Linked DNA regions of Ovis aries. The protein of the gene in region 2 purifies or fractionates together with the protein of the main gene of each other region. This does not show direct contact. Links are inferred from orthologs where the notes say so. Each region holds a gene or a part of one and is shown on either strand. Other genes may lie near its edges.

What was found.
Region 1: the proteins of SLX4 (region 2) and TOPBP1 purify together in Homo sapiens (affinity purification with mass spectrometry; 3 studies listed by BioGRID, with this or other methods). This does not show direct contact. The link is inferred for Ovis aries from reciprocal best matches to the Homo sapiens genes SLX4 and TOPBP1.
Region 3: the proteins of SLX4 (region 2) and SLX4IP purify together in Homo sapiens (affinity purification with mass spectrometry; 6 studies listed by BioGRID and IntAct, with this or other methods). This does not show direct contact. The link is inferred for Ovis aries from reciprocal best matches to the Homo sapiens genes SLX4 and SLX4IP.
Region 4: the proteins of SLX4 (region 2) and RTEL1 purify together in Homo sapiens (affinity purification with mass spectrometry; 3 studies listed by BioGRID, with this or other methods). This does not show direct contact. The link is inferred for Ovis aries from reciprocal best matches to the Homo sapiens genes SLX4 and RTEL1.

Annotation. Positions count from the first base shown.
Region 1 is NC_056054.1:256,376,200-256,384,191, forward strand, and holds the start of TOPBP1 (DNA topoisomerase 2-binding protein 1), read left to right. Parts: upstream 1-3,484; 5' UTR 3,485-3,627; intron 3,628-3,796; exon of another isoform or gene 3,797-4,193; intron 4,194-4,266; exon of another isoform or gene 4,267-4,271; 5' UTR 4,272-4,273; coding exon 4,274-4,357; intron 4,358-6,354; coding exon 6,355-6,489; intron 6,490-7,183; exon of another isoform or gene 7,184-7,347; intron 7,348-7,992. UniProt on the Homo sapiens protein: Scaffold protein that acts as a key protein-protein adapter in DNA replication and DNA repair. Composed of multiple BRCT domains, which specifically recognize and bind phosphorylated proteins, bringing proteins together into functional combinations.
Region 2 is NC_056077.1:3,514,005-3,521,507, forward strand, and holds part of SLX4 (structure-specific endonuclease subunit SLX4), read right to left. Parts: coding exon 7,361-7,503; intron 7,249-7,360; coding exon 6,932-7,248; intron 6,454-6,931; coding exon 6,219-6,453; intron 5,844-6,218; coding exon 5,755-5,843; intron 4,923-5,754; coding exon 4,776-4,922; intron 3,811-4,775; coding exon 3,641-3,810; intron 2,831-3,640; coding exon 624-2,830; intron 240-623; exon of another isoform or gene 1-239. UniProt on the Homo sapiens protein: Regulatory subunit that interacts with and increases the activity of different structure-specific endonucleases.
Region 3 is NC_056066.1:3,744,795-3,752,297, reverse strand, and holds part of SLX4IP (protein SLX4IP), read right to left. Parts: intron 3,669-7,503; coding exon 3,565-3,668; intron 2,480-3,564; coding exon 2,173-2,479; 3' UTR 1-2,172.
Region 4 is NC_056066.1:53,773,136-53,781,152, forward strand, and holds the start of RTEL1 (regulator of telomere elongation helicase 1), read right to left. Parts: upstream 5,025-8,017; 5' UTR 4,896-5,024; intron 4,659-4,895; exon of another isoform or gene 4,579-4,658; intron 4,138-4,578; 5' UTR 3,979-4,137; coding exon 3,877-3,978; intron 2,997-3,876; coding exon 2,801-2,996; intron 2,566-2,800; coding exon 2,472-2,565; intron 2,037-2,471; coding exon 1,955-2,036; intron 1,757-1,954; coding exon 1,696-1,756; intron 911-1,695; coding exon 835-910; intron 395-834; coding exon 310-394; intron 39-309; coding exon 1-38. Other genes in the region: STMN3 (stathmin-3), read left to right, coding at 7,665-7,683. UniProt on the Homo sapiens protein: A probable ATP-dependent DNA helicase implicated in telomere-length regulation, DNA repair and the maintenance of genomic stability. Acts as an anti-recombinase to counteract toxic recombination and limit crossover during meiosis.

The DNA.
Region 1 (7,992 bases), on a different chromosome or scaffold from region 2:
CTTTCATAATTTTCCAGTTTATTGTGATCCACACAGTCAAAGGCTTTGGCATAGTCAATAAAGCAGAAATAGATGTTTTTCTGGAACTCTCTTGCTTTTTCCATGATCCAGCGGATGTTGGCAATTTGATTGCTGGTTCCTCTGCCTTTTCTAAATCCAGCTTGAACATCAGGGAGTTCATGGTTCATGTATTGCTGAAGCCTGGCTTGAAGAATTTTGAGCATTACTTTACTAGCATGTGAGATGAGTACAATTGTGTAGTAGTTTGAGCATTCTTTGGCATTGCCTTTCTTTGGAATTGGAATGAAAACTGACCTTTTCCAGTCCTGTGGCCACTGCTGAGTTTTCCAAATTTGCTGGCATATTGAGTGCAGCACTTTCACAGCATCATCTTTCAGGATTTGAAACAGCTTAACTGGAATTCCATCAACTCCACTAGCTTTGTTCGTAGCGATGCTTTCTAAGGCCCATTTGACTTCACTTTCCAAGATGTCTGCTCTAGATTAGTGATCACATCATCATGATTATCTGGGTCGTGAAGATCTTTTTTGTACAGTTCTTCCATGTATTCTTGCCACCTCTTCTTAATATCTTCTGCTTCTGTTAGGTCCAGACTATTTCTGTCCTTTATCGAGCCCATCCTTGCATGAAATGTTCCCTTGGTATCTCTAATTTTCTTGAAGAGATCTTTAGTCTTTCCCATTCTGTTGTTTTCCTCTATTTCTTTGCATTGATCGCTGAAGAAAGCTTTCTTATCTCTTCTTGCTATTCTTTGGAACTCTGCATTTAGATGCTTATATCTTTCCTTTTCTCCTTTGCTTTTAGCCTCTCTTCGTTTCACAGCTATTTGTAAAGCCTCCCCAGACAGCCATTTTGCTTTTTTGCATTTCTTTTCCATGGGGATGGTCTTGATCCCTGTCTCCTGTACAATGTCACGAACCTCATTCCATAGTTCATCAGGCACTCTATCTATCAGATCTAGGCCCTTAAATCTATTTCTCACTTCCACTGTATAATCATAAGGGATTTGATTTAGGACATACCTGAATGGTCTAGCGGTTTTCCTACTTTCTTCAATTTAAGTCTGAATTTGGCAATAAGGAGTTCATGTTCTGAGCCACAGTCAGCTCCTGGTCTTATTTTTGTTGACTGTATAGAGCTTCTCCATCTTTGGCTGCAAAGAAAGATAATCAATCTGATTTCGGTGTTGACCATCTGGTGATGTCCATGTGTAGAGTCTTCTCTTGTGTTGTTGGAAGAGGGTGTTTGCTATGACCAGTGCATTTTCTTGGCAAAACTCTATTAGTCTTTGCCCTGCTTCATTCCACATTCCAAGGCCAAATTTGCCTGTTACTCCAGGTGTTTCTTGACTTCCTACTTTTGCATTCCAGTCCCCTATAATGAAAAGGATATCTTTTTTGGATGTTAGTTCTAAAAGATCTTGTAGGTGTTCATAAAACCGTTCAACTTCAGCTTCTTCAGCATTACTGGTTGGGCATAGACTTGGATTACTGTGATATTGAATGGTTTGCCTTGAAGACCAATAGAGATCATTCTGTCGTTTTTGAGATTGCATCCAAGTACTGCATTTGGACTCTTTTGTTGACCATGATGGCTATTCCATTTCTTCTGAGTGATTCCTGCCCACAGTAGTTGAAGGTCAGGAATGGCGGTGGTAAGGAGATACCCCTCCTCCAAGGTAAGGAGCAGCGGCTGTGCTTTGCTGGAGCAGCCATGAAGAGATTACCCACACCCAAGGTAAGAGAAACCCAAGTAAGATGGTAGGTGTGGCAAGAGGGCATCAGAGGGCAGACACACTGAAACCATACTCGCAGAAAACTAGTCAATCTAATCACACTAGGACCACAGCCTTGTCTAAGTCAATGAAACCAAGCCATGCCTACGGGGCAACTCAAGACGGGCGGGTCACGGTGGAGAGGTCTGACAGAGAGTGGTCCACTGGAGAAGGGAATGGCAAGACACTTCAGTATTCTTGCCTTGAGAACCCCATGAACAGTATGAAAAGGCAAAATGATAGGATACTGAAAGAGGAACTCCCCAGGTCATTAGGTGCCCAATATGCTACTGGAAATCAGTGGAGAAATAACTTGAGAAAGAATGAAGGGATGGAGCCAAAGCAAAAACAATACCCAGCTGTGGATGTGACTGGTGATAGAAGCAAGATCTGATGCTGTAAAGAGCAATATTGCATAGGAACCTGGAATGTCAGGTCCATGAATCAAGGCAAATTGGAAGTGGTCAAACAAGAGATGGCAAGGGTGAACATCGACATTTTAGGAATCAGTGAACTAAAATGGACTGGAATGGGTGAATTTAACTCAGATGACCATCATATCTTCCATCTTTAGACATTTTAAAAAACCAAGGTACAGATCATTAAACTCTCAGGTTACTCAAATCATGATTTTCTCACTCCCAACAGTCAAGAATAAAATGAGGAGAAACGCTGACCAAGCAGTTTTTCATTGGCCATCAACAAGCCAGAGGTCCTACAATCCTATTTCACCTCCTCTCCCCACACCTTTGCCATTTGAACATTAGGTTCCATCCCACAATCTGCCCAACACTTGGGAAGCTACAGAGAAAAAAATGAGATGCTCACGGGTTGGGGGTAGCGAGGTGGGAGTAGCGAGGTGGGAGAATAGGGTGTTAGTCCTGGAGGGCACTACTGAAGTTGGCAAAGACCTCCTACGCACCAGGCATGTCATTCACGTCATCCTGACGTCTTTCTTTTCTTTAGACCCTTGGCTGTTGTAGCTGGTGAGCACATTTGGGCTATACTGGAGGAAAATAATCCAGTCCACCAGTCCATGGAGTCAAAAAGACTTGGGTGCAGTCTTAAACTTCTACCACTTACTGTGACCTCGAACACTTCATTTAATTTTCCTAAGCCTGTTTTTACATTTGTAAATACAAATCAGTATTCGCCTCCCAGAGTTGTTTTAGGTAACATATGGTGTCTCAGCATAAACTATTAAAGAAACCCTCTTTTACCTGTCTTTATTTTTTGATATGTTAGGGTCTGCTCTGAGGCATCAGTCCCCAACATTTTTTGTCACTAGGGACCGGTTTAGTAAAAGACAATTTTTCCCAGGGCAAGGGGAGCTCGGCCGTTCAGAAGGCAACGCGAGAAATGGGGAGCGGCTCTGCTTCCACCACTAACCTTCCCTGGCCCTGGAGTTGCGAACTCCTGCTCTAAAATACCTCCGACCCGCCGCCCCAAAGCCCTAGCCCTCAGCGCTTCGCCAATTCCCAGCAAAGGTAAGACCCGCCCTTCCAGCTCCTGAGCCGAAGCTTCTGCCACAGCCTTCCGGGAACACCTAAGCCTCCGGGTGGGAACCAACCAGCACCGCCGCTTTCTTTTGTCTCCGCCCTCCCCCGCTGCAGTTGTCGTAGCGTCACTTCCGCCGGAAGGGACGGGCAAGACCGCGCGGTTGGCGCGAAAGTCGGTTCGCGGTTCGGCAACTTCCGGGTCTGCGTTTGCTTTGGTTGGGGGCGCCGCTGGGTGCGGCGGGTGTGCGCCGGGCTGGCGCCCGACCCCAGCCGCAGTCCCGCGTGCCGCGCGGCCCCCTACTCGCGGCCCGGAGATCCCCTGCCTCCACCGAGGTGAGTGAAGCTCAGAGTGAGCACCCCGCTCCCTCCCCACCTCGCAAGGGGGAGGGGTCCTCGACGCCGCCTCTGGCCTTAGGGGCCCTGGATTCCGGACCTTGTAACCGGTCCCCGGACCGGTGGATGGGACAGCGGAGAGCACGTGACTGGGGCAGGACCGATAATCGGACTTTCCCCTGGCAGCTGCGAAGCGAGAGCATCTAGCCTTTTAGGGCCCTAACTTTAATGGCTGGCTTTCATGTTTATATGTAAAGTTCGTTTACTGAGGGCTTAACCTATCTTGAGGGCCGCAGATGACCTCAGGGACCTAATCGTTCTGAGCATTCTCAAGCTAAATGAAATTGAATGACCATCGACTTAGGAGACTTAGAGCTCCAGAGCAAAAGTCCTCGATGAATTCAGTTTAGCAACATTAATTTCGTATTTTGATTTACGAAGACTGGTTGTTGTCATCTTTTCCCTTGATTTTGTCCACATTCCACTGTTTCTTACAAACCATAATGGACGAATTCATGGGCAAGACCAGAATGTTTGTCCTTCGACATTCTTATTTGCACAGAAAAGTAGGTGCTTTAAACATTTAACTTTGTACGTAATGTGTTTTTACTCTTGTTAATGGTTCCTTTATTTTGACAGTTCAGAAATGTCCAAAAATGACAAAGAACCGTTTTTTGTGAAGTTTTTAAAGTCTTCAGACAATTCTGAATGTTTTTTTAAAGCTCTTGAGGTAAGACTACTTGACAATGTCTTGCTGTGAATTCATTTTCTTGTTTCTAGTGTTTTTGACTTAGGCCTTTTATGTCTTAGTCATGGTTATTTTATTTTCATAATAGTTTTACTCTAGTCTACATTCATAGATACCTCATTATTAACACACTCTTGAATTGATATTAGTATATCATGTATTTTGGGGGGATTGAAATCTTTACTGACATTTATATTGAAAGTGATGGGCCTGGTAGTCTTAGAAATTAAGTAGTTTTCTTTTGTCTACTAACCATAGACCTTTGTGTGTTGAAAAAACTTGAGGCAGTCCTATATTGGTTACACTTCATTTTTTGTTTTTGTTGTTGTTAATTGTTAAAAGTATGTTTCATTATATAGTTTCATGTGGGAGGATGTAGGGGTAGTGTCTCCCCCAGTAGCATCACCGTGGCCTGAGAAATTGGACCCCAGCTCAGACTCACTGATTGGAATCTACTTTTTAACAAGATCTTATGTATGTTTAAGAAACACTTGTAAAAAAAAAAAGAAAAGAAAGAAACACTTGTAGCAGGTTTTTCTTTTAAGTTCATTCAGCAAATAATTGTGTTCATCATCTGATAAGCACTGTTCAAATACGTGGGATACATTTAGATAATGAGAGCAGGCAAAGATCCATACTTTCTCAGAGTTTACATTCTATTATAGCTATAGGAAATAAACTAGTCAGATATATCAGTGTGTAATATATAGTATGTTAAAGCTGCAAAGTGCTGTGGGAGGAGAAATGCAAAACAAGTTAAAACATTCCAGAAGATGTTTGTTAAGGAAGAAGGGAAGTTTACAATTTATTTTAAATATAGTGTGATATTCTCTGTGGAGAAGTTGATATTTGTAAATACTTGAAGGAGGTGAGATAATGAGCCATGTTAATATGTGGGGAAGGTTTCAGTTTCAGGCAGAGGAAATAATCATACACAGGCCCTGGGAAGGTGCTTGCAGTGTCTGTCCTGCTTTATTGTGGCTGTAGTGTAGTGTGAACAGGAGATGTGGGATGAATGCTAAGGTTTGGTTCAGAGAATAAGAATAAAGAGGTCATGAGGGCCTTGTGGTCTCTTTTAAGGACTTTGGCTTTTTCTTACGGTGAGATGGAGAGCCACTGGGGGAGTTTAATCAGAAGAGTATATGATCTGACTTAATCGTTTTAAAAGGATCACCCTAAGTATTTAATGAAAGGACTTCAGAATTTGTTAAGAAAATATTTGAGTGCTTATTGGGAGCCAGGATATGTTGCCAAACAAGATAGATCACAAAACATTCTTCTTACAAGGGAGAGAGACAAAAACTGTGTATATATGTATATATAATATTATGTATGCTATATATGCTAGTATACATAATACTATATCTATGTTGTTTTCTTCATAAAATAGGGAAAGAATATTTTAGAAAAGTGTGATCAGGAAAAGCATCTCTGAGGAAGTGACATGTGAGCAGATGTGGTTGAAGTGAAACAAGTCAGGTGAAGTCCTGGGGGAAGAGTGTTCCAGGTAGCAGTGGGGGGGGGGGGGGGTGCAAAACCTCTAAATGAGGTCATACTTAGCTTGTTCCAGGTCTGGAAAGAAAGCAGGAGTGGCTAGAGAAGAGTGAGCAAAAGGGATTAGAGGAAGAAGTAAGCATGGGGAGACAGAGACAGGCAATGGCCAGACTCTGTGGTCTTATAGGTGATTGTAAGAAATGAAGATTTTATTTTGAGTGTGGTGGGAAGCTGCTGGAGGTTTTCAGCAGAGTGATATGACCTGATTTGTATTGTTGAAAAGATTAGTAGCTGCTGTGTGGAGAATAGATTTAGGGCAAAGGATGAGAAGGAACCCCTTTGGAGACTCCTGCTCAGGCCACGTGAGAGATGATGGTTCCTTTTGATGGGAAGAAGGCTGGATTTGAGATGGATTTTGAAGATACAGTTCATAGGACATAAATACAGGTGAATAATTTCATATGCATTCTTATTTTTTCTTTCAGTCAATAAAAGAATTCCAATCAGAAGAATATCTTCAGATTATTACAGAAGAAGAGGCATTGAAAATAAAGGAAAATGATAGATCACTGTATATCTGTGACCCCTTTAGTGGTGATGCCTTTGATCATCTCCAAAAGGTTTGCTAACTTTTAGTGTGTTCTTTCAGGTAGTGTTTTTGGTTTGTTTTTGCGGCAGTGCAGTGGACATAAGTTCTTTACTGGTCATGATGTATTTTGTAAATTATGAATTGAGAGGAATCTTTTGGTTTTGAAAGACCAGAATAGTAATTTTAAAGTGTAGTTATATTCCCGTAGGCTTTAATTGGGCTTCCCTGTGGCTCAGACAGTAAAGAATCCACATGCAGTGCAGGAAATCTGGGTTTGATCCCTGGGTTGGGAAGATCCCCTGGAGGAGGTCATGGCAACCCACTCCAGTATTCTTGCCTGGAGAATCCCCATGGACAGAGGAGCCTGGCGGGCTACAGTCCATGGGGTCACAAAGAGTCAGACGCAACTAAATGACTAAGTGCAGCACAGAACAGACTTTGCTTGATATGTGAGTTTTGTATTTTAGGGAATTTAACCTCACTTAGTATAATTTAACCCTATAGTAATGAAGTATTTTATTGATGAAGTTCTAATGTACTTAAACTCAGTTTGATTTTAGAGTAAGAAAAGATTTGTTTACTTACTGTCTTTACTGTGTGTTCTTGAATTTTAGTACCTGTGCTTTGTATAGGGTTTGAAAAATTATATGCTAAAAGGAAGCATTTTGGGGATGAGCATTGCTAATATATCATTGAGCCATCTTATTTCTTTTTGTTGATTCTAGAGTCTACTGACTCATTACTTTTTTGGTGTCTGGACAAGAGAGAAGCATTGAAATAAAAGTAAACTGGCTATAATTTCATCCAAATTACAAAGAAGTGACTCTTGTTTGAAGGAGAAGAAAACATAGAAGAGTAGCTAGATGCAGTACTATACAGATAATGGAAGGTCTGTGCCCATGTTTTCCAAAAGCATTATTGGTCTTACCCTCCTTTTGGAAATAACACTGCTTGTCAGATAGAATCAATAGCATTGAATACTCAGTTTTCTTATGACTGACCAAAAAGATAGAAATAAACATTTACCCTGGAGACATTTACATCAGTTATGCTTTGGTAACTTTGGTAACTGTAGGCTTTAGTCTGGCCTGGATGTGCTGATGTTGAGCAAAATTGTTCAGTTATCAATGAAAGTGATAACCTTAGGAGAAGTTTTTGTGGGCCTTTCCTGGAAAAACATTGAGTTGTGAACAGTGTTTAAAAATGAATGTAGAAACTACCTAGGATTATGCTTTTTTGTAGCATAATAGGTATTTTAGAGGGAAAGTATTTGGGTTCTTACACTTAACTGCCTCATTGGCTGGGTGCTTCATTTGAAAAGTAATTATTATGGCATAAGGCTATTACTCATATCCCCTATTGCTAAGATTGTATTTGTTTCAGAGATTAAAATTTTAATGGCAATTTTGAGTGAGTATAACTTTTGGAGCTTATTTCTTTTGATAGCCTGCATTGTTTGATTTGCTTGTGTGTTAATGTGTGGTATGTCTGAGAAATCATATAATGTGTGTTTGCTTTCTAACAATTTGGTGGG
Region 2 (7,503 bases):
GCTCACAAGTGGAATCATACGGCGTGGCCTTTTGAGTCTGGCTTCTCTCCCCGAGCACCATGTTTTGAAGGTTCGTCCATGTTGTAGCCTGTGTCAGAGCTTTGTATGGCTGAGAAGACTCTACTGTCGGGATGGACCCCCTTTATTCACTTATCAGCTGATGGACATTTGCGTTGATCCTACTTTTTGGCTGTTGTGAATAGTGCTGCTGTGAACATGAGTGTGCAGGATGTGTTTGAGTCCCGATCTCAAGTCTTTGAATGCTGGAGTGCAATGACCTGGTGATAATGGCAATTGTTTGACTATTTGAGGAGCCACACGTGTCTGCTCTTAAGATGAACCTGAGAGGCTCATCACAGTCTCCCTGAAGTGCTGGTGAGGTATTCTGGAGCGGGGCCGCAGACAGGGGTCCTCAATAGGTGCCCAGGTGAGTGCAGAATCCAGGCAGCTTTAGGACGCCCCCGTACTTACTAGCTTAAGAAGTGTATGTTTGACCGCAGGCCTTTCCTCCCTAACCGTGGAGAAGGTCAGGCAGGCAAGGGGAGGGCTGGCCGCCCCTCGCTGTCATTATGACTTCATGCCCCTCAGCATGAAACAGAGACAAACACCCTCCCACTACTCACCTGGCGTCTGTAACTTGTATGACCTCTGGGCTCCATCTGTGCGCGGCGTCTGGGGCAGAGGAGCTGCCTCTGAGGACCTCTGATCTTCTTCGTTCCAGTCATCCCACAGAGCTGAGTTCAGAAAGCTCTGCTGGTGGCTCCCAGGGGAGCCAGCCCCAGAGGACTTCTCTTGAGACTTCCTCCGGCCAGTGTAGCTCCCTCGGATTGGGGTGGTGCCCAGCAGTGCCGGGGAGTGGCAGTCTCTGCTGTCTGGGGCACCCTCTGCCCTGTTGCTGGGGCTGCTGGTGCTCAAGGGCCCTGTCCGCTCGAGGTTCAGGTGATCAATGGGGATCGGTGAGAGGGGCTCCATGTGCCAGCACCAGTCCTCGGCTGGAAGCGGGGGGTCACCGTCCAGCAGGGGGCTGCTGCTTGCCTGTTGGGAGGCTGCCTCCTGCTCGTCCTCACTGTCCTCCACCTCCACCACTTCACTCACGGGAGCCTGAGCCGCCGGGCTCCGCACAGGAGGCAGGCACTTCGGGAGCTGCCTGGGGAGGTCGGCGAGGCCTCCTAAGATGGGCCGGGGAGCCAGAGGAGAAGCACGTGGGAGGAGTCTGCGGCGGGGGCTGGATGGGCTGCTGCAGGCCTGCCTTCTCCCGTCAGAGCCTCCAGGAGGGGCGGGTCCCAGGTGTGGGGACGACATCTGGGGTATGATGACCGAAAACTTACTCGTGGCTTCGGGTTCGTCCCTGTTCTCTAACAGGGCCCTGGGCTTGGGCAGAGCCAGCGGGTCTGCTGGCGGCCTGGCCCCGAGGCCTGTGATCTGGGTCTGCGAGGAACAGTCGCAGCTCCCGCCGGCCAGCGGGGTAGCGGGCACGAGCCACGAGGTGTCCGTGGTGCTGTCGTCGGTGCTGGCCCCTAGCCGCCCCTCCACCTCCTGCGGCAGCAGGGCCTGGCTTCCTGGTGGGCTTTGGGGAGGCTCCTGCTCCGCGTCAAGGTCAATGATGGAAAACAGTTCAGAGGACTTGGCGCTGACTTCCAGAACTTTCTTGTCTTCTAAGGGACTGTTCAGAAATGACTTTGCTTTGGTTTGCTCCAGCTCCAGCTCTTCATCTGAATCCAGTAACAGGATCACCTCGTCTTCTCTGTTCATGCTGCGGGGAGAGGTCTCAGGCCTGGAGCTCCGGCGGCCAGGTCCTGACCGGGTTAGATCCATGGGTGGAGATTTTTCTGGGAAGATCAGGACCCCTTTACCTCTGCATCCCAGTGCGGAACTACACTCCTTGTCTTTCTGGCCTGGATCCTCACGTGACGAGGGAAGGCGCCTGGCTTTCTTTGGCTTCAGTGATAAGTTCTGGGAGGCCATGCTGGAAGCTGTGGCCTGCAACTGGAGTATTGGTGGGGACAGGTCATTGGGGCAACGAGTGTGAGGACGTGGCTGGCGAGGACTCTGGCCTTGATGGGGCTGCGGTGGGAAGCATGAGCGTGAGGGGGGTGCCTGCTGGTGTGCAGGGGGATGGAACCCCTCTACCTCCCTTTCTTGGATGGTCCTGTTTCCTTCTTCCCAATCGCTCGTCACCCGGGAGAGTTCAGAGTATCCAGCTTGAGGTGATGAAAAAGGCTGTTGAACGTTATCATCATCAGCTGAGCACAGAGGGGCGCTTTCCTGCCTCTCTGGCTGGCCCTGGGCGGGGCTGGAGGAGCAGGGAGGAGCCAGTGCTCCCTCTGGGGCCTCTGCTCTCTCTGCCCCGTTCAAAGCCTGGTCGCTGGGGGGCAGGAGTGTGGACTGTCTCGTGTTTCCCCATTTGGCTGGGGTCTCATCTCTTCCTTGCCCGGATGATTCCACCTGCTCTGCATTTTCTGGCTGTTCTTTATCCTGTTCACTTGTGAGGATTTCCCCCGAAACTGGACCATCCTCCCCGAGCAGGTCAGCTTCTTCCTCTGGCTCTGGAGCTTTCTCCCCCTGGAGCAGCTTTCGCTGAGTAGCTGCGAATTCATAAATTTCTTCCATCTCCTCCTCGTTGACCTTTTCTCTGTCTTCTTCGCGGCCCTCCGGCTTCAGCAGGGCCTCTGCTCCCTCCTCCTCACCCAGCCACACAAGGTGCAGGAGCTCTCGGAAAGTCTCCACTCTGCCGTCAGCGTCGTCTTCCTGCTCCTTTGCCTGTCCACCTTCTGCATCCATCACAAAGGGCACTTGTTCGCACAGGTAAACAAGCTCACTCACCCCAAACCTGCAAGAGGAAAGTCACGTGTCACCACCCCCTGCGCAGAGGCAGCGCCCTGGCTCGGGAGGCTCGGGGCAGGAGTCCCCACAGCCGTGACTCCCTGGCCCTTCCCCAATCCCCTGCAGAGACAGTGCCCATGTCCACGCCCAGCAATGCCCCAGGCCACTCAGCTCTAGAAACAGCGTCTGGGGAGGGTCCACTAGCCTCACTGTGCAGCCTGAGCGTGAGCTGAGGTGGGAGCGCGGGGCTGGGTGGTTCTGTGACCGGACCCAAAGCACCGGGACTGACACACACGGGGTCGCCCAGGCCGGTTTGGGTCAGCCCGGACACGTGCGCCGGCCTGCCTGGAGCTCTGCCATCTCATCGGCACCTTGGAGACCCCGGAGGCCAAGCCCGCCCCTCCCCAGGTTCCACCCCAGAGGTGGGAGCAGGACACAGGGGTGGAGAGACCAGGCAGCTGCAGCGTCAGGGGCGTCAGAGCAAGCATCCTGCCGACGTCCACCTTCTCAGACTTGGAGGGGCGGCCATTGGGCAGCTCTGGTGGCGGAACTGCCGAGGGGTGGTGTTGCTGGGGCTGGGGCCTGAGACCACCCCTTCGTCACTCCCAGCGAGTGAAAGCCACTGGGCTCCCCTCCAAGCATTCCCTGTGGCCAGAATCTTGGTCAGTACACCCTGTTCAAGGTCACCACTGGCCATAAACTTGGGATTAAAAGGTACAGGAAGGACTCAGCCCTGACCTCTCATGGGCCATCAACCAGATAATCCCTGTCGGTTACTGTCAAAAACCGAGAAGTAAGTGGAAAGAACAGCCCGGACCTCTGGGCCAGAGAGCGCAGGTCAGGGGCCAGCTGGGGAGTCAGGATGGTGTCGGCAGCATAGAGGTAATGCAGGAATGCCTGGGCGGCCTCGGTGCTGACGTCACGCAGCAGCACGCGCTGGCGCCTCAAGTCACCATCCTCTTCGGCCAGGAAGGCTTCACTGTTTACCTGAGGGACAGATGCACATGGAAGAGTTACTGACGGGACAGCCGTGACCTGGGGCAAAACAGGACTCAGGAGGTTCTGGTGCCTTGGATCTCGTCCTAGGACGGGCATTAGCCAGAGTCGCTCCATTTAGCTGACCAGGAATTCTTCAGGTTAGGGCACAAAACCTGTCTGTTTCCAAAGTCAAGTCAGCGATAGAGGCTTAAGGAGCCAGTCAGTCCTCTGTTGACAAGCCTATCAAAGGCACTAGAACTTTCTGACGAGACTGACAGCAGTTTCCGGGATTCTTGTGATGCCACGTTCAAGTCCATGACACGTTCAAGTCAAGATATGACAACACAGAAATGTCATAGCAGCTCAGCCTTAATGAGGTCAGTTAGGGACTTCACACTCTCACTGCCAAGGGTGAGGGTTCAATCCCTGGTTGGGGAATTTAAGATTCTTCAAGCCACACAGCATGGCAGAAAAAAACAGAAGGTGATTATAAGACTTTGCTACTGCTAAGTCACTTCAGTTGTGTCCGACTCTGTGTGACCCCACAGACGGCAGCCCACCAGGCTCCCCCATCCCTGGGATTCTCCAGGCAAGAACACTGGAGTGGGTTGCCATTTCCTTCTCCATAAGACTTTACTGATATGTAAATAGAGGAAAAGGAAACAGTTCTAGGGAAAACAGGATTTTTATTCAACGGAACAAGAAATCTGATGTTTCCCAGCCCTGAGCTCATCTCCTCATAGCACTTCTTGACCTCAAACCTGTCTTCTCCAGGGAAGTACAACCTTTATGGCATCAGGGGAAGAACAGGTCAGGGGCAGTGGGCGGAGAGTGGGGGTGTGGGGAGGAAAGGGGCAGGAAGAGAGGGAGAGGCTGGGCACAGAGGGGAGGGTGAGGGGGAGGAGGGGTGAGTGGGAGGGGAGGGAGGAGGGACAAGAGCAAAGGGGGAATAGGCCGCCTGGCCACGCACTCACATGCTGCATGAGAAGTGGGCATCGGGCATAGAGCACAAACTTGTGGGCATAGAGCACCTCCCCACTGTCTGTCTGAAACTGGACGTCACTCAGGTGAGGGTTGTTGACCATGGCACTGAAGTCGGCCACCAGCAGACCAAGGGCGAGCTGCAACGAGAGGGGGAGAGCGGCCACTCCCACCTGTGGGCCCCCGAACCATGCAGGTGCCCAACTCAAGGGGAGGAGGCAGCCAGTGAGGGCCTCCTGCCTCACCAGGTCCAATGTCGGGCTCCACCCTGAGGTTACCTTCAGGCCCTCAGAGACAGGGAACAGCAAGACCCAGTCCTTTTTCAAGTTCTCTGTCACACCCAATTCCCTGGCCTAGACAGGAGGCCTGGCCCGTGAAGACGGAGGCCCGGCGCGTGGAGAGGCGTGGGTGACAGCCTCGCCAGGACGCGGTGGCAGGGTCAGCAGCTGCTAGGTCTCCGTGAGGAAGCCATCAGCCCAGCCGGATGTGACAGGTGGGACCTGAGCCCAAGCAGTTGTGGGGCTGGCTAGGAGTCCATGTCCCTTCTCTGACAGGTGCCACATCCCCAGGGAGAACTTGGTGACAAGCGCTCGGCTGATACCAATGTGCTCACGGGATGACACCTTCTCTAAGGAAAAACCAGTTTCTAACCCAGAAAGTCACCAGTACAGAACACGAACTGTTAGCTGGAGGCCTCCAGGATTCTCACGAGTTAGTTGGTCAGTCCCGTTGGCTGGATGAAGCACCCTCACAGAGCAAGGGTGCTCCCTGGGCCTGGCCCTGGGAGCCTACTGAGGTGCCCCTGGGGTTCAACAACGGAAGGGACAGAACCTGGCTCAGCTCAGAGGCCGTCAAGGGGTGCCCGTGGACTCTGCAGGGGCCTGGAGGCTGGCTGTGAGCCAGCCGCACTGAACATACAACAAGCATTGCAGCCACGACCACGGAGCCGCGAGCAGGACCAGACGTGCTCACCGAAGCCTGGCCGCCCTCCTCCGGGTACTTCTCCTTGGCTGGCAGGACAAACCCAGTCAGTGGAAGGCCACCGAGCGACAAGTCCATCCCTAAAAGGATTTGCAGGTTAAAATCATCAACCACCTGGGAAAGAGCATCACCTGGCCGACCCGAGGATGTCGTCATGGAAGGCGAACTGTCCAGAGGCCACCTGCACCGCCACCCCTGCCCAACAGAGTTGTACTCTGGAGAGAAAGCCGAAATCAACCCTCACGACCACTCGCTCTGGCAGAAGGCTTTGTCCTCAGTCAAAGCTGAAGGAAAACTGACGGACTCGCCTGAGTCACATTCACCTTTGAGGAGACAGGAAAGCACCCAGAGAGACCACCTCCTCCCGTCAGACAGGGTGAACTGGGACTGTGGACCCAAGTGGCCATCGCGGCCCTGGTACCGGGGAGGGGAGGCCCTGAGGGTCGGGGTCTCACCTGCAGCCCCCCCTGAGCTGGCCAGGTCCCTGCTGCATGGGCTGGCAGGCAACCCCTCTCCCGCCAGCTCCAGCAGATCCTGCAGGGCTTGGCGCTCCCTCTGGCTGGCGGAGGGTGCTGGGCTCCGGAGGCTGTGGCTCACGGGGTGGGTGCCAGGGGCAGAAGCGGGTGCTCCCACACTCAGTTCTGGCAGCTTGGGTGGCTGTGGCAGCCGCATGGGCTCCTGTGTGAGACCCTGAAAGAAGTAGGTGAACCAGAGTGAGCATGTGGCCTCCACAGCCACCACCACCTTGAGAGTCCCTGGGAAGCGAGCCCCAGCCAGAGCCACTTGGGAAGCTTGTCCCTGTTACCCGTCAGTAGGCACCTCTGTCTTGGCAGCGCCCCCGCCCTCCTAGTGGCATCTAAATTGCTTCAAGCAGGTGAGTGCCAATTCCTGTACACAGGCCTGTCTTGTTCCTGGGTCCCATCACAGGCAGATTATACCAGTCCGGGGCAGGACCTGGGACCCTGCATTCTGAACTCTCCAGAATCTTAACGCTTAGAAACCTGTGGGCCTCCCTGTTCCTACTGTGCGAACCATCTGGTTGTTGCAAAGACAACACACTAGAGTCCACACCATGGCACCCGGCTTCCTCCCCTCTGCATTTGGTGCCGCAGCTGGAGCCGCCACCCTCTCCCCTTGAGCCCACCTGCCCCACCGGAAGGGAGCACACCTTGGCAGGCCATTGGGGCACCAGAGGAGGCACCAGGCTGGCCGTGTAGAAGGACTCCAGGGCCCTAGCCCCGGTGAGGGCACTGGCCTCCCACAGCAGGTTCTGTGCCCCCCTGGGGGGTCGCAGGACCCGGCTGCCCCTGGCCAGCTCTTCCTCTAGAATCCTGCTGGTGGGGAGTGGCGGCGTGCTGGACGGCTCCACCTCCTCCGACAGGAGCTGGGCCAGGCGGTCCTGTATCTGCCGGCCCGTGGTCTCCGCATCCTGGACTAACAGTTGTGGGGGGGACGTGGGGGCTTTCTTCTTGTGGGTCTTCTTCTCTGGAGAAAAAACAGAAGCAGCACGGAGTCGTCCTCCCACCGGGGACCCCAGGGGAAGCTTTGGCAGCTGCCGCGCAGCCAGGCTTTTCAGCACCCCACTCAGCTGCCGCACCTGCTCCTAGCCTTGTCCTCTCTGCAAAAGCGTTCCCCAGCCTGAGCGCGGCCGGCACCGCCTGCTGCTCCGTCTCTGAGCGGGACAGAGCCATGGCTACCAACAGGTCCTCGGAGGGCGCCTCGGGCTCAGGGACCTTCCGC
Region 3 (7,503 bases), on a different chromosome or scaffold from region 2:
AAATGGGTGACTCTGAGACGGGGCTCAGGACGGACCATGTTCTATCACCTCCGCAGGAGGGTTCTGCCCTGTGCAGTCTGCACTTCCTGGAGGAGTGGACTCAGCTGCACTGTGGTTGGTATTCTGCTGGGCTACCTCTTCTACTGTGGAGCCCAGTGAACGGAGTCACCTGGGGCAGGATTAATAGCTAGGAGGGAAGAGGAAGAGACGTCAGTAGGCAGGGCCGCCTTCCTGGTGGGGATGTTGAGGCTGGGGTCCCAGGAAGGGAAGAAGTCTCCAGAAGAGTCTGGAGCATCAAAGAAAGGGGCCTGCATCCGCAGCCAGGCATGGCAAGGAAGACTTAGCTTCATGACTCAAAATGGTGCCATGATATTCGGCTGCCTCTTCAGGAGTCCTGCCCTACAATCTAAGGAAAGGAGAGTTGGGGACGGACAGAATGAGCTGGGAGAAAGAAACCACTAATTAATCTTAAGCATGAACTTACACTGTATCCATTTCCATATTCTTTTATTTTGTTGGTCTTTTTTTTTTTTTCTAACTCCTACACTTTGGGGAATATCTTGATTTTCCGTGTTACTAGGGAGGAGGTATTACTTCAAAGGACCACCCAATGTTGAGCAGGAAAAAAAGACACATTTGATGGGTGGCCTTTGAATATAGTTTCCTTCATTATTTCAGAATAAAACTTGGTTAAGAAAACCTACTGTAGTTGTCCATCCAAAATAAGTCATTGCTATGATTCACTACATGACATTTCAGCAAGCCCACTGGAGACAACAGTGGGTGATCCTGCAAATGGAAGGCTCCTGGTTTGAAATCTAAGCTGCCCGTGCTGCCTTCCAAGTGGGGAACTGCAAATTCTGCCCACTGAATTCCCCTCGGGCTTGGATCTGTTCTGAACTTCACCAGAGTCTTGAAGGTGGGGGCAGGGGCAAGGGGTAGGGACATGCCTGAACTACAAGAAAGAACAAGCCTCTCTGATGTCTCCCCCTAATGTCAGGCCAAACTATATGTAAATATCCTGCAACTCTTAGTGCAGTCACAGCTCCCAGGGCGCTGTGGCCACCATGCTTAAATGGGACCAGTGCTTCACACCCTGAGCCAGGTGCTTCATAAGTCCGAGGGGGCATGACGGCTGCATGTCCACATGTGGGCCCTGCTGATGTGCGAGGGGCCAGGACAGTCAGGCCGCAGGAATCAATCCAAGGGGGTCTGCAATTAGCCCGGGGGTTGCCAAACTTGAGCATGTTTCAGAATCACCCAGTTTCTCATTCTGTAGGTCTGGGTGGGGCCCAGGCTCTGCCTTTCTCACACACTTTCAGATATGACGCTGGGGCCGCAAGCAGTGGGGTGACCCGCAAGCAGATGGGGTGACCCGCAAGCCTGCTGCTCCACTGCTGCCTGACTCAGGCTGCAGGGCAGGAGGATTGGCCGGCAAAGAGAGCACCACGGTCACTGTGGGCTTCATCCAGGGATGCAGCGAGGCACACCACTGGTTTCTTCCTGCGCTTCCTTTATGGATGCTGTCGCTGCCAACAAAGCCAATGGTTCTTTATCACCAAAGTAAGTTTCTGAAGTTAAAGTGTGAACCAGAAAGGAACAGTGCTGTCAGAACAAGCTCCTGGAGGCTGCTGGTTTGAAAGTTAAGTCCAACACAGGTACGTAACTTCTACTGAAAATGATCATTTGAATTCCTGTAAGTCATGGCTTCTAGGCACACTGCTCATTTGTCCCAGGTCTGGTCACGACATCCTCCACGATGAGGTTGCAATCCTCTTCTGTGAGCAAGTAGCTGCTTCCACCCTTTTCTTTTCTTGGTTGGGCTGCCCTGAGTCAGAGCTAAGCTTTCAGTGTTTGTGGCTGAGTTGTGCCTGCCCTGGCTTATTTTTCGTAAGATGTCTGGAGGAGAGAGTTTTCCAAAACATGCAACTCTTCATTAGATGCAGTTTCTGCCAAATCTTGTTTCAAAAGCAACCCCGGATCTGACAGCTCTCCAGTTGGCAGGACCCTGGCAGCTTTCCTTTTCCCACTATTATTTCCCTCGGGGCTAATCGATCACTTCCAAGAGAAACTCTCTTGTGGTGGTCGGCGTCTCCCGCAGGGCTGCGCTTCCTGAGTTTCTGCGGTGCTCCGGCCCCTCGTGGACTCTGCTTTGGACTGGGGAATGCTGACTCACAGCCACAGACAAGGCTCCTGCTTAGAAGCCCGGTCTGCAACCGCACCCTGGGATGAGGTTTCTGCTGCTCCTGGCCAGGCCTGATGACCTTTCTCCAGCTTCAGAGCAGGAAGCCCCTGGTGGGTCTCAGACGCCTTCCTGTCATCCTCTGCCTGTCCCACGGCCGGGGGGCTGGATGAGGCTGGCCGGCCCCCCCTCCTCCACGCTCCCTCTGCAGCCACGGAGTCACTGGATGCTCCCACACTGGGCCCGTTGCTCCGAGATCCGCTCACGGCGCTGCTTTTTGTCTCAGTTCTGTTCACACTAAAACAAAGAAAGAATTTTTTGATTTGTAAACCTGTGATGGCCAGGTTTCCCTCGGAGTCCCCATGTCATATTTCTTACACTTGAAGCAGGAGGCATGTGTTAACCTCCCTTCTCCTCACCCCACTGGCCAATCTCACAAAAAATCCCAAGTGTCTGTTGATATGCAGACTGGATCAACCAAGAGCTGTCACAGTTTCCTACACACTGGGACACACTTTACTTATTGATCATTGGTTAACAATGGCATTTTAATGGAGTTCATATTTTAACTAAGGCAGAGAGGCATTCATTTCAGATGTTAAATATCAATATTACCTATATTTGATATATTGATTTTTTCCCCAGAAGCAAATACACAAAGCAAAGCCTCTGTGTGTGTTTGTGTACATACAAGCATGTTCTTTTACGCACATACAAACTCTTCTATAACACACAGAAACTTTTTAAACGTTCCCTTTTCTATAACACACATACAACAGATAAAGCAGATTGTACTGTGTGACATTCACTTGGAGGTGCAGGATAGAAGCTGGCCAGGGAGATTGTACAGACCAGAGATTTTGGCATATATTTGTAGACTTGTGAATGGAAAGAAGTTTCTTGAACCACTGAACTCAAAATATTGAGAATGAAATATTTCTTTAGGTTCAGCTTTCATCTGGAAACCAATACATGTATTCATATTCTTACTACAGCTATCGTTCTCTCAAAGATTATTATAATGACACGAGGGTCAGAAGAGGCCCCTGAGGAAGGCAGCGCATGGTTCCCAATCTGTCCGGGGCTGCTTGGAAAGGTGCACGAAACACCATCAACAGGTGCTTTTCATCTTCAAAGTGCTTGCCACTAATTACTCCTTGCAACATACCTGTGAAGCCAGGCCTTGTTTCCCCCTGTCCAGAAAGCAAGAGAAAAAGTCTGGAAAGTAGAAAAAGTCCCAACTCTGTGACTTTGGACAGGATCAGTGTCTGAGGGCTTCTGTGATTAGGGTCTAGGCACTCTTGCTGAATTCTAGCCCTCATGTTGTGTCCCCATCTATATAGACAGTTTGGAGAGAAGAAGAGGAAACCCACGGGACCTACATTTCTTGCAGAACATTTCTCTTGGGCTCTGCCCCGGGAGGAAGTAGTTGTTCCACACACCCAGTACGATCCCCTGTTGCTCCGTGGAGAGCTCGTCCCGGCTGCTGCAAAAGACAACAAAGTCAACCAGTAATCTGTTAACTGCACAGGTGGAAAACATTTCCACTCCAAATACCCCAGTGAACGGATTTAGTTTGGTGAGGACAGGATGAAACTACATAGTGTTAGGTTATTTTAATTTTTTTCAGTCTAGAATGTTCTATGGCAAACCTAGACAGTGTATTAAAAACGACATCACTTTGCCGAAAAAGGTCCATATAGTCAAAGCTATGGTTATTCCAGCAGTCATGTACGGATCTGAGAGTTGGATTATAAAGAAGGCTTAGCACTGAAGAAGTGATGCTTTCAAACTGTGGTGCTGGAGAAGGCTCTTATGAGTCTCTTGGACTATAAGGAGATCAAACCAGCTAGTCTGAAAGGAAATCAATACTGAATATTCAATAGAAGGATGGATTCTGAAGCTGAAGCTCCAATGCTTTGGCCACCTGATGTGAAGAGCCAACTCATTAGAAAAGACCCTGATGCTGGGAAAGATGGAAGGCAGAAGGAGAAGGGAATGGCAGAGGATGAGGTGTTTGGATGGCATCACCGACGCAGTGGGTGTGAGTTTCAGCAAGCTTCGAGAGATGGTGAAGGACAGGGACACCTGTCATGCTGCAGTGCATGGGGTCACAGAGGCGGACCCAAATTGTCAACTGAACACCACCACTTCACTTGGATTCCAAGTACACGTTTCATTCGTGAATGTGTGCCACAAACAGGCAAGATGGTGACTCCAAGCCATCCGGGAACTCTCGGCCAGAACCGAGAGCTCTGAGGCCTGGGATGTGAGGATGCCCCAGTCAGGCGACCATGTGGCCGTGGGACTGGCCTTCCAGAGAGACCTGGGGCCACAGGGGTCTGTACTCCGATGAACTTTAGAATTCTCACATCTTCTCTATCTATAAAAACAGAGTATGGCCTTTGCAAAAAATGTCAAGAGTTCAGCCTACCAATACTGGTATTTTGAAAACCAGATTTTGAGATTCCTGGTTACTAAAACACTCCCGAGTTTTTTTCCCCTTAAAATAACAGCACTAACATGGTTTTAGATAGTTCTGAGGTTATCTATCTATCCATACACATGGAAGCTTCATAAAGAAGTAGCTATAAAAAGTTAAAATCTCCCAACCCTCATCAATATTGACCAATTTCTTTCTTTTGGAAAGTTGTTTCCTTTTGGTTAGCACATAGATAATTCAGACAAGGTGTTAAATTCTATCAATTGCTAGTACATTTCTCAGTACCCTTCTCCATCAAATTTTATAGTAAAATGTTGCTGCCACAAGGAGTGGTATTGGTAAGGTACCAGCAGACCTACACTGGAAGTAAGATTGACACCCCAGAGAGCCTGGTAGGCTGCAGCCACTGGAATCATATCTGCATGTCCCACAGAGTGATGCCATGAGCTTCGTCCAATCACTGCCCTGCACCACTGAGCACCAACCTTTTGCTCTCATGAACTCACCGGCGTTTTAGACCTGGACCAATGTCACTCAGGGTCTAGTTATAACCCAAGTCAGTTTTAAGAGTTAGTAAACAGAATACAATTGGTTTTATTGGATTATACTGCATTTTGGGGCTTCCCGTATGGCTCAGCTGGTAAAGAATCCAACTGCAATGTGGGACACCTAGGTTCGATCCCTGGGTTGGAAAGATCCCTCGGAGAAGGGAAAGGCTACCCACTCCAGTATTCTGGCCTGGAGAATTCCACAGACTGTATAGTCCATGGGGTCGCAAAGAGTCAGACTTACAACTGAGAGACTTTCACTTTCACTGCATTTTAATGCTAGTCCCTTTTCTTTCCCTTAAGACTTCCTGTTGTTCAGTCGCTAAGTCGTGTTCCATTCTTTGCAAACCCCAAGGACTGCAGTATGCCAGGCTTCCTTGTCCTTCACTATCTCCTGAAGTTTGCTCAAACTCATGTCCATTGAGTCAGTGATGCCATCCAACCTTCTCATCCTCTGTCATCCCCTTCTCCTCCTGCCTTCAATCTTTCCCAGCATCAGGATCTTCTCAAGGAGTCAGTTCTTTGTATCAGGTGACCACAGTATTGGAGCTTCAGCTTCAGCATCAATCCTTCCAGTGAATATTCAGGATTGATTTCCTTTAGGACTGACTGGTTTGATCTCCTTGCTGTCCAAGGGACTCTCAAGAGTCTTCTCCAGCACAATTCAAAGGCATCAGTTCTTTGGCACTCAGCCTTCTTTATGGTCCAACCCTCACATCCATACAAGAATATCAAAAAAATCATAGCTTTGACTATACAGACATTTATGGGCAGAGTAATGTCTTTGCTTTTTAATATACTGTCTAGGTTTGTTGACCCAAAAGTGTTAGTTTAAAAGTTAAATGACAGAGAAAGAGAGGAAGAGAGGGAGAGAGAGAGATTGAGATTTATGTGTGAAACGCTTCTAAACATGCCTTGTAAGTACAGTAGATTTCCCCCTTACAACCACACCCTGTAAAGTGCTGTAGTTTCAGAGCTGCACAATTAACATAAGGAGCATGAGTCAGGCTTTGAACAACTCTGTGGGAACCAGAAAGCCTTTTCCTATTAGGAATGATGTAAATTCCCCAAGGCTGGAAGAAGTCCACAACGGAGGGAGACAGGGTCATAAATAACAACAATGGATACTGCACAGACCACAAAACATGAGGCCGTGATACAGACACTCTTCGCGTCTCACACTGGATTCAACCGCTGCCTCGATTTATTTATTTTTTAACCTTAAAGAGCACTCTGCATTTCCTATGGGAACTTCAAAAACACCTCTAAAAAACAGACAATGGACTCTCATCCCGAATTCTTCTAACAATGGAGGAAAATGTCCTTGGAAGAGAAAAACAACAACAGCAGCAGCAAGAGTGACAGAAGGAAATGTCCAGCTCGAAAAGTGCAAAGCCTGTGACTTCATATTTTCAAATAAAGAAAGAAAAAGGCAAGGCAGGGTCTCCTGCTTACAGATTAAAACCACATCTGGCAATTTGTCAATTTGTCAAAGGAGGCATATTTACATTTGTATGAAGACTGGGTGGGCAGGGGAAAAAAGAGGTTAGACTCCTTCAGCCCTTGAACTGTCAGAGCTCATTAGAAATCTCTCATTCTCACATCTCCAGGGTTATTCACACCCCTTGGTCACCACACTGCAGCCTCCCGGTGCCCTGAACAAGTACTCTAGGGAAGCAGCTCTCACCTGCGAACAGGATATCCCATGGGACTCATCCTGATTACTAATGGTGTCTCACATCTGGCATCAAAATGCAACTGTAGCTTATCCAGAGGCAAGACTCTTAGGGCTGTGAAGGTAGCAAGTGCCTCCGGGGCTTACCTGGGTGACACTGCTTCTTTCCAGATTCTATGTGACTAACGACCCTGACACTATCTGCAAAGAAGACAAACAAACACAACATACTTCAAAAGGCTACCGGTAGGCTGTCCCCGAGACTTGGGTTCAATCCCTGAGTTGGGAAGATCACCTGAAGGAAGGCATGACAACCCACTCCAGTGTTCTTGCTTGGAGAATCCCCTGGACAGAGGAGCCTGGCGGGCTTCAGTCCATGGGGTCGAAAAGAGTCAGACACGACTGGGCGACCAAGCATAGCGCAGCACAGCACAGGGTGTCCAAAGTCCAGAGAGAGCACCCCACGGGGACTCAGGATTTAGGAGACAGGTGAGCCAAGAGGGTTGCTTTGGGCCCTCATCGGTCACCGGTGATCGCTCACCACTTGGATGCTAGCTCGGAGTCCAGCTAAGGAATACAATGCTGCAACTATGGCCAGCCCCCTCTCTCAATTATCTATCTTTGGTAGTACTTTGAGGATTGTGGTTTTAAAAAT
Region 4 (8,017 bases), on a different chromosome or scaffold from region 2:
ACCGTCCCCTTCAGGTCGATGCTGTGTGCACGACGACTCTACAGCAAGAGTGGGACGTTGGGCTGGGGCTGATATGCCCGGGCTGCCCTGTGGTGTCCAGCAGGAGGACACCAATCCCGGGCAGCCCCTCACTCCCGCCACCCCCCAAGCTGTGCTGATGAGGGAGGCTGGTCCCCTGGTGCCAGCCTACAGCTCCCAGCAAGGGTCTAATACTGGAACCAGGACCAGTAAGGACTCCTTCACTGGCACCTCTGAGCCTGGGACCTTCTTGCCATCAGGCACTGTCAGCTGCACAGGCTGAGGCCTCACCTTGGCATCCAACAGGTAGTTGTAGGGCATGAAGATTATGTCTGCCTGCTGCTTCAGGTTCCGAGACAGGTAGTAGGGGCACAGCCTGGAGGGGAGGAGGTGCTGGGGCACTGAACGGGCAGCGAGGCTTGCCACCCCTCATACATCCGTCCTCAACCGTGTGAGTGGACCACTCACTTGTGTAAAATCTACAAAAGCCCCAGGCCCACTCCTGGGCAGGTGGATGAGGTGGGAGGAAAGGGGATAGCCAGGCCTCTGCCCCCACAACCAGAGCCCTGAATCCATGAAGTTGCAGCAGATGTCGGGGGTGGGGGCACACCAAGTGGAAGATAAGCTCAATGCCTGGGGAGTAGAGGGGGGCTGGGGGCCAGGAAGAAGGATCTCACTTCTTACTTCACAGTTCTCACAACTGCCATGTACTTTCATACCGAACAACGTTAGTTTCATGATTTCAAAAGGAAAGAAATGGGTGTGCCTCCGCACGTGGAGGGAGCCCAGCCTGCGGCAGCCGAGAGGGGAGCTTACTTGTGCTTGGTCCCGCTCCTAACCAAGTCCTCGATGTCCAGGATGGGAGTGGCCAGCTCCTGCTCCAGGCTCTTCTCTGGGGACACGGTGGGAGTGAACACAGGCTCTCAGGTCCACTGAGTCCCCCTGGACCACAGGGGTCACCCGAGATGGAATGACTCCAGGCAGCCCCTGGGGAGGGCACCAAGCTTCAAGCAAGTCCTGAGGGAGCCCTGCTCTGTGCTTCAGAAGGCAGCCACAGGCCGAGGCTGAGCACCAATGGGAGACCCAGGGGAGGAGGCTGAGGGCAGTGGGGGTTCTGCAGCCCAGGGACCAGCAGGCACCAGCTCCGAAGGTACCTCCTCTGTAGGCCAAAAGCTCCCCCCAGCTCCCCACCCCACCCTGGCCTCCTGGCCCCTCCCTCCTCAAGGTCCCTCCAGGTGAGGTGAGGGACGCTGCAGGTGAGGGAAGCTGCAGGTGAGGGACGCTGCAGGTGAGGGCTGGTCCAGCAGAGGGAGCAAGCTGACCCACAAGCTGCTGTGGAAGGTGGCTGAGACCCCAAGAGAAATGCTCTCGAGACCCAGTACCTAAACTGTCCTGGGGGCTGCCCACACTGGCATGCCTACCTGACAGGCACCTCAATTCCAGACTCCTAGAAGGGACAGTTTAGGCCCAGGGGACCTCCCCTACTGGGCATGGCAGGGACCCTCCCGAAAACCCCAGTCCCTCAGCCCGTGTGAGCGCCTTCGCCAATGTCATGAAACAGAGCCCAGGCGCCCCCACGTATAGAAGGCCGCCAAGCCCGACCCTCGGAGGCACCCACAGTCCACGCCCTGCAGCATGCTCACTGAGGGGCGGAGGGGCCGCCATGAGCCCCCTCACCTTCCACGTTGTTGTAGAAGTGACAAGAACGACCTGCTACCTTCCTGCGGCACAAGTGGACCTGGGGGGACACGAGGCCTGGGCTAGTGTGACAACTGCACCCTGCCCTCCCCTTGCCACCAGTCAGGCACCCCACCAGTTCTTCACCCTGCTCCCCTACCCCATCTCCCAGGGGCACAGCTGAGGCCCTAAAGCCTGGGCAGCTCTCACAAAGCAGCAGCAACAGAACCCCAGCAGACAGGCAGGGACGGGAACGCACCTGCATGTGGTTACTCTCCTGCTTCTTCACCTCAGGGTGGATACACAGCTGCTCCCGGGAGCCCAGCACACACACGCGGGGCCTGGCAGAAGACAGAGCGGGGGCCCCAGTGCCATCCAGCGACAAGAGCCATGAGTTATACTGGGAAGCTTGGCTCACCCACCCAGACAACCAGAGAGGGCAGGCAGGGCGGAAATCTGGCCCGGGACTGAGAGGGGCTTTCCCTGCAGCTTAGCCCAGCCTGAGTCAGGGTCCAGGGCGAGTGAGGAGGCAAGGCTGAGAAATGACGGCAGGCCTCTGGAAGGCCCCTCCACCTCCACGCTCCTCTCATGGGAGACTGGAAAAAGGGGACACAGCCCTCTTGCAGAAGCACTGGGAGCTCCGACATAGGGCAGAGCCCCACCTCTGCTGCCCCACCCACACCTACAGCTGACATCTCATCCACAAGGAGCTCAGGGTTCTAGCCCAGTAAGGGTGTCCCAGGGTGGAGTCCTGGCAGACCACCCCCCCGACCCACCGGTAGGAAGTGTTTCGGAGCTCGCTGATGACCTGCGTGAGCTGTGAGTGAGTTCTGGAAGCATAGATGATCTTCGGGATGTCCGTGTAGCAGGCTGCCCAGCACAAGGAAGGACAAGTCACGGCTACAGGCACTCAGCTAAGTCCACCCACAGACAGCTAAGCATCAGGTGCCTGAACCCGTGACCAAGAAGCAGAGCAGTGGGTCTCTGCAGAGTCCTCATTTGTTTGTAAGGCTATGACCCTAGGTTTACAGCTAGGACAATGAGAAATGGCGTGGCAGCTACACAACCCCCCAGGAGGCCAGGAGTGGGGCAGAGGGAGCATCACCTGGGACATCTCCTTCCGGGATGGCATTCCCCCAGGACGCCAAGGTGCGGTCGGGGAAGAGCTCCCCTGACGCCCTCTCAGCGATCCTGCGGGCAGAGACCGCGTCTCGGAGGTGCTCTCGCCAGGCCAGTGTGCTGCAGAGAAGGCACAGTGTCTTCCCTGTGCCTGTGGGGCTCTCCAGAATGCCGTTCACTTTCTGAATGGGGTGGAACAAGGGTCAGGGAGGAGCAGGAGGCAGGCACCGCAGGCCACACAGCCCACCTGAGACTAGCCCAGCAGCCAGCAGAGGGCATAAAATTCCACAGGACCTTTCCACTCCCAAACCAAAAGCTGGAGGTTAGGTCAGTACACGTTAGCAAACAATTTGCAGAGCATTACCCAAAACACCACAGTATCTTCTAACATGCTATAAATAGGAAGATGACTAATTAGGTATCAAGCCTCAAAATAGGAGTTCCATTCTACAATTCTGGATCCAAGCATTTACACAATCTTGATGAGATCTGATGGCCTACATAGCTCTCAGCTGGGAGCCTGAGTGGGGAGCCTGGGCATACACAACGTGCCCAGCTGCAGATGCAGCCCTTGGGTGCTGGGGGCTTGGGCAGAGACAAGAGGGCATGCCCAGAAACCCAGCAAGACACTAGCTGCACCCCATGAGGTTTCATGATCTCCCCAGATGAGGGCTGGGTACCAGCTGCCCCTCTGTGTGGAAATACGTCCTCCAGATCCTCAGATGGCTGGCTGCTTCTCATCGCTGGGCCTCAGCTCACACACCACCTTCTCAGTGAGGTTCCCCCAGGTGCTCTTAAGCCTACCACCTTATGCCTTTCTTTATAGCACTCATCACCATCTAGAATTACCTTTTTTTGATTTATTTGTTCAGCATCTCTCCGACCCCACCTAAAACATGAGCCCTATTTATGGCTAAGGCCCACATCCATAAGGGCAGCATTACCAGTAGGACCTGGCCGGAGTTAACAGGAAGGTGTATGTACTGATACCTTAGGTCTTTGCAGAGGCTCTACCAACGCTGACCCATCCCCAGGTACAAGCCCCTCAGTCTGCAGCCTCACCTTCTGCAGACACTCCAAAACTTTGCTCATGTACTCCTCTTGGCATTTGTACGGCTGGAAAGGGAAGTCCACTGTCACACCTTTCAGGGTTATCTTGGGCATACTGGTCTACTCTTGGGGTCACACAGAGGTTGGCTGAAGTGCAGGCTGTGTGAGTCTGCGAGACAAAACCTCCTCTGAACATCTCAGAGTCTCAGCGGCTTCAGGCAAGTGATGCCAGCCTGCACTGCGGGGACATGGAGCCTCTCTCCACGCGAGATCCTACAGCAGAGACGGAAATGACAAGCCTGTGTCTAGTGAGCTTTTCCCGAGTGCCAGGCCACTTCATCAGTTCCCGCAGGCAGTGCCTCCCGCGGACAGGTCCGAAGGTGAGCCTGTGACATCCCATCACAAGGGGCTCACAGAGGTGTCCTCCCTGCCCTGTTCTCCCGCCCCACACAGCTCCACCGAGCTCCTGGAGAGGCAACAGAAGAGACGGAGGTGCAGTTCCACGTGCTCCAACCGCAACAACACTGCACTGACCTCCGCCACAGCAGAGGAGCCAGTTCCCAGCAGCGCCACCTCCGCACCAACCCACCCCCCCCTCCACCCCCAGCCTGGGCGGCTCGGAACCTCCCACCCCTGAGGCTCCCACCCTCGGTTCTCTGGGCCATCTCCATCCCTCCCAGGCGGGCAGCGAAAGAACACGTGTGCTGCTCTGACCTGGGATGCGAATCCGTGCGGCGCCCCGCAAACCAACCCGCCTCCCGAGGCCTGGTTTCGCCTAGACACTGGAACTAACTGCCCGCGCTCCAAAACCCCGCCCGTCCGCCCTTCCCGCTGGCCCGGCCCACTCCGCGAGCGGAGAGCTGGGCACTACGCGCCCCACAATGCAGCGCGGCAGAATCGCCAGCGTGCGACCTGAGGGTGGCGCGGGGCCTGCCGGGAGTTGCAGTGACGGAAGGCGCTGCTGGAGTACAGGTTCCAGTGCCCGGGTCTCTGAGGGGAGCCGTACACGAGCGGGGTCCCCAGGACTTCACCTCAGTCCGGCCCACACATCACCATCGTGTCCGCAGCCGGCAGCCAGTCTGAGTATGAGGGCTTAGGCGCGCCGTCTTTCCGGAACTCTCTGCACTTCCGCCGCCATTCCCAGTCCCTTGCTCAATGCTCCGGCCGGAAACTGCTCCCCTGAGGGTGCGCGCGCTAGTCGCGCGCTGCGGTCCAGGTCCCACCAGCCCCTTCCGTTGACCCTGAGCCCAGGGCCCGCCCCTTCTCCCCCAGGGGCACGAACCTAGGATCCCGACCGGCTCCCTCCTCAAAGTCATCCCCACCCGGGCCTCCGTTCCACTTCCCGCCTGGCCTGGACCAAGTCCTCTCAGACAACTGCCCAGACAACTGTACAAACGTTCTGACAGGTTTCCTGTGGTTTCCACCTTTTCTTGAAACGCCCAGAGGTCTTTTAAAGACTTGACTGAGCTGATCACTCTCAGATTTCGCAAATGGCTGCCCCTTGCCCGTGACTTGGCTCCTGAGAGCCTCATCTGTTCCTCTGCTTACTGTCCTCTGGGTCCAGCCGCTTTTTCGGTCAATGTCTCCAACTAGTCAGGGCAGGCCCTCTGAATCCCCAGCTCCCAGCACCAGCTGGCAGTCAACAAGGAAGTTTCAGGGGTCTCCGTGGTTAGAAATGTTTGTCTAGGTGACCCCAGTATGCCCCAGAAAGCGCCAGGAAGAAACTGACGGTGCGGTGGCAGCCGCAGTCCTCTGGCCAGGCTGATTTTAGAGGGTCCCGTGGGCCGATTAATGTCCAGAGGTATTCCTGCTGGTAGCACGTTAATGCCACGTATGTGTTTAGGCTCTTGGTCTGAAGTCATGCTTGGGAAGCCCTTGGCACACGCTGGTATCCACCCATGCCCACCTGTTCCAGTAAGGGAATGGCAGAGTGTCTATCTCAGCAGGGAGTTTGGAGAAGAGGAGAAGTTTGGAGAAGATGTGTTGGCACACACTTGCTGGATGTTTACCTGGCACACTTTGCAGTGCCATCTATGCAGGCATTAACATGTTTGTCCATCCAGCAAACCATCCCTGAGATAAGTGCATCTATGACCCACTCCTTACAGGTGAGGAAAAGAAGCACACTGTTGGCAGCGGTTAGTAGATTTCCCAAAGTGAAAGTGTTAGTCGCCCAGTCTTGTCCAACTCTTTGTGACCCCATGGACTGTAGCCTGCCAGGTTCCTCTGTCCAGGCTAGAATACTGGAGTGGGTAGCCATTCCCTTCTCCAGGAGATCTTCCCAACTCAGGAATCAAACCCAGGTCTCCTGCATTGCTGGCAGATTCTTTACTGTCTAAGCCACCAGGTGAAAAGATAGCAGCAAGTCTGAGAGCCGGGAGTCCTACCCTTACCCTCCACACCCCACACTCTGAGAGTAGTGGCATTTTCTCCCACAGAAGTCCAAGGAAGGGAAGCCCAGGACCCAGAGATTCAGCAAACCCTGGGCCAGAACTAGAGCTGAGGACCCTGGTCACACATTGTGCATCAGGACCTCCTGCCCAAGCCTCCTAAAATTATAACATGTAAGTGCTGTGGTCCTATACCCTGAGAGATGAGCAGAAAGGGACATGGAGGCCACATAGCAAGCCCCAGAAGGCCGGCACAGAGATCTCAATCAAGTCAGTGAACTTGCACTTGCACTGAGTGTCTGCTCTGGTAGGCTTTGTGGGACTCCCATGGTAGACCAGCCCCAGTGTGGACCCATTATGCTCATTGAGTGTGCACATTAAGGTTCTTGGCTCTCCTCATCTCTGCATGTTCCAGGTTTCCCCAGAGTTCTAATTCTGGCTCCAGAACTCCGTTTCTTGTGGAGTCAGCCCTTCTCTTGGCCTAGTGGCTCTGTCCCTAAAATGGGAACATCACTCCATCTGCCTGATTTCCCATCCCCAAAGAGGTGATGCTTACTCTGGGAAAGGCCCTCCCTTTGAGGGTATCAATCAGAACTCTGAGTCTAGGGAGGAAGCAGGCAGGACACTCACCAAGTGTGCACACTTCTCCTACACCACTGGGGATTAACACCATTATCTCATCTCACACCTGAGAAATGGAGGCCCAGAGAGGTCAGAAACTTGCCCTCAATCACACAGCAAGTAGATGTCAGAGCGGGGATTGGATCCTGTCTCTGTCTTCCTCCAAAGCTTTGTTCTAGGCCTTTGCACACTGATTTACCCTCCTCTCTGCCTCGAGTTGCTCATCCGCTGGGAGGCCCCTGGAGGCCTTCCAGACCAGCCCCCACCTGCACCATCTATGATTTGCTTTCCTTCAGCACAAGCCTGGGCACAAAAAAGGCACCTCCCAGCCTTCACTGGCCTCAGAGAAGCTCTGCAACCCCACCCTGACGTTGAGGCCTGCCCCCTGCTCCTGCACAGCCCCTGGGAAATTGGGTGCTGTCTCCACCAGCCCCCTGAGAGTGTACAAAGCCAAGTTGGGGCAGCGGGTCCTAACAGTGAGCGGTGGGAGGATGGGCCTCTGGCTGCAGCGCAGGGCTCTGCATCCCAGGCAGATCTCAGCCCCTCCCATTGTCCGCTCCCCTCACCCCCTCCCTCCAACGGCTGCAGCCCAAGCCACAGCCAGGCGCTTTCTCTCTCTCTCTCTCTCCCTCTCTCTTTCTCTTTCTCTCTCCCTCCCTCTCCCCTGCGCTCCCGCCTCCCGCCCTCCCTAGCTCCCTCCCCTCCCCGACACTGCAGCATTCGCCGACTGCAGCTCCAGCCGCCGCCCGCGCCTCTCCCGCCTCCCGCAACCCCGCCGCCGCCAGCACCATGGCCAGCACCATCTCTGGTAGGCACCCGGGCCTCCGGTGTCCTGGGGCAGCGGGTCTGAGCACAGACTATTGTCTGGCCTCGCCTACTGCTGGGCGGGATGTGGAGTGTTTTCCCATCTCGGATCCTGCGCCCTGAAAGGGCGCGGGCAAGCTCCGGGTGGAACCCGCAGGAGACATGGTTGGGGGCTAGGGGATTGGGAGACCCGATGCCCATAGAGCAGGGATTGCGGTGCCAGCCTAGCAGGCTTGGGCCGCGGGGTAGGGACCACGCTCGGGGTGGGGGCGTCGGCCTGGGGGTGCCGTTGCCCCTTCGTGCGCCGCTGTGCCAGGCCGGGCGTGACTGCCGTGCCA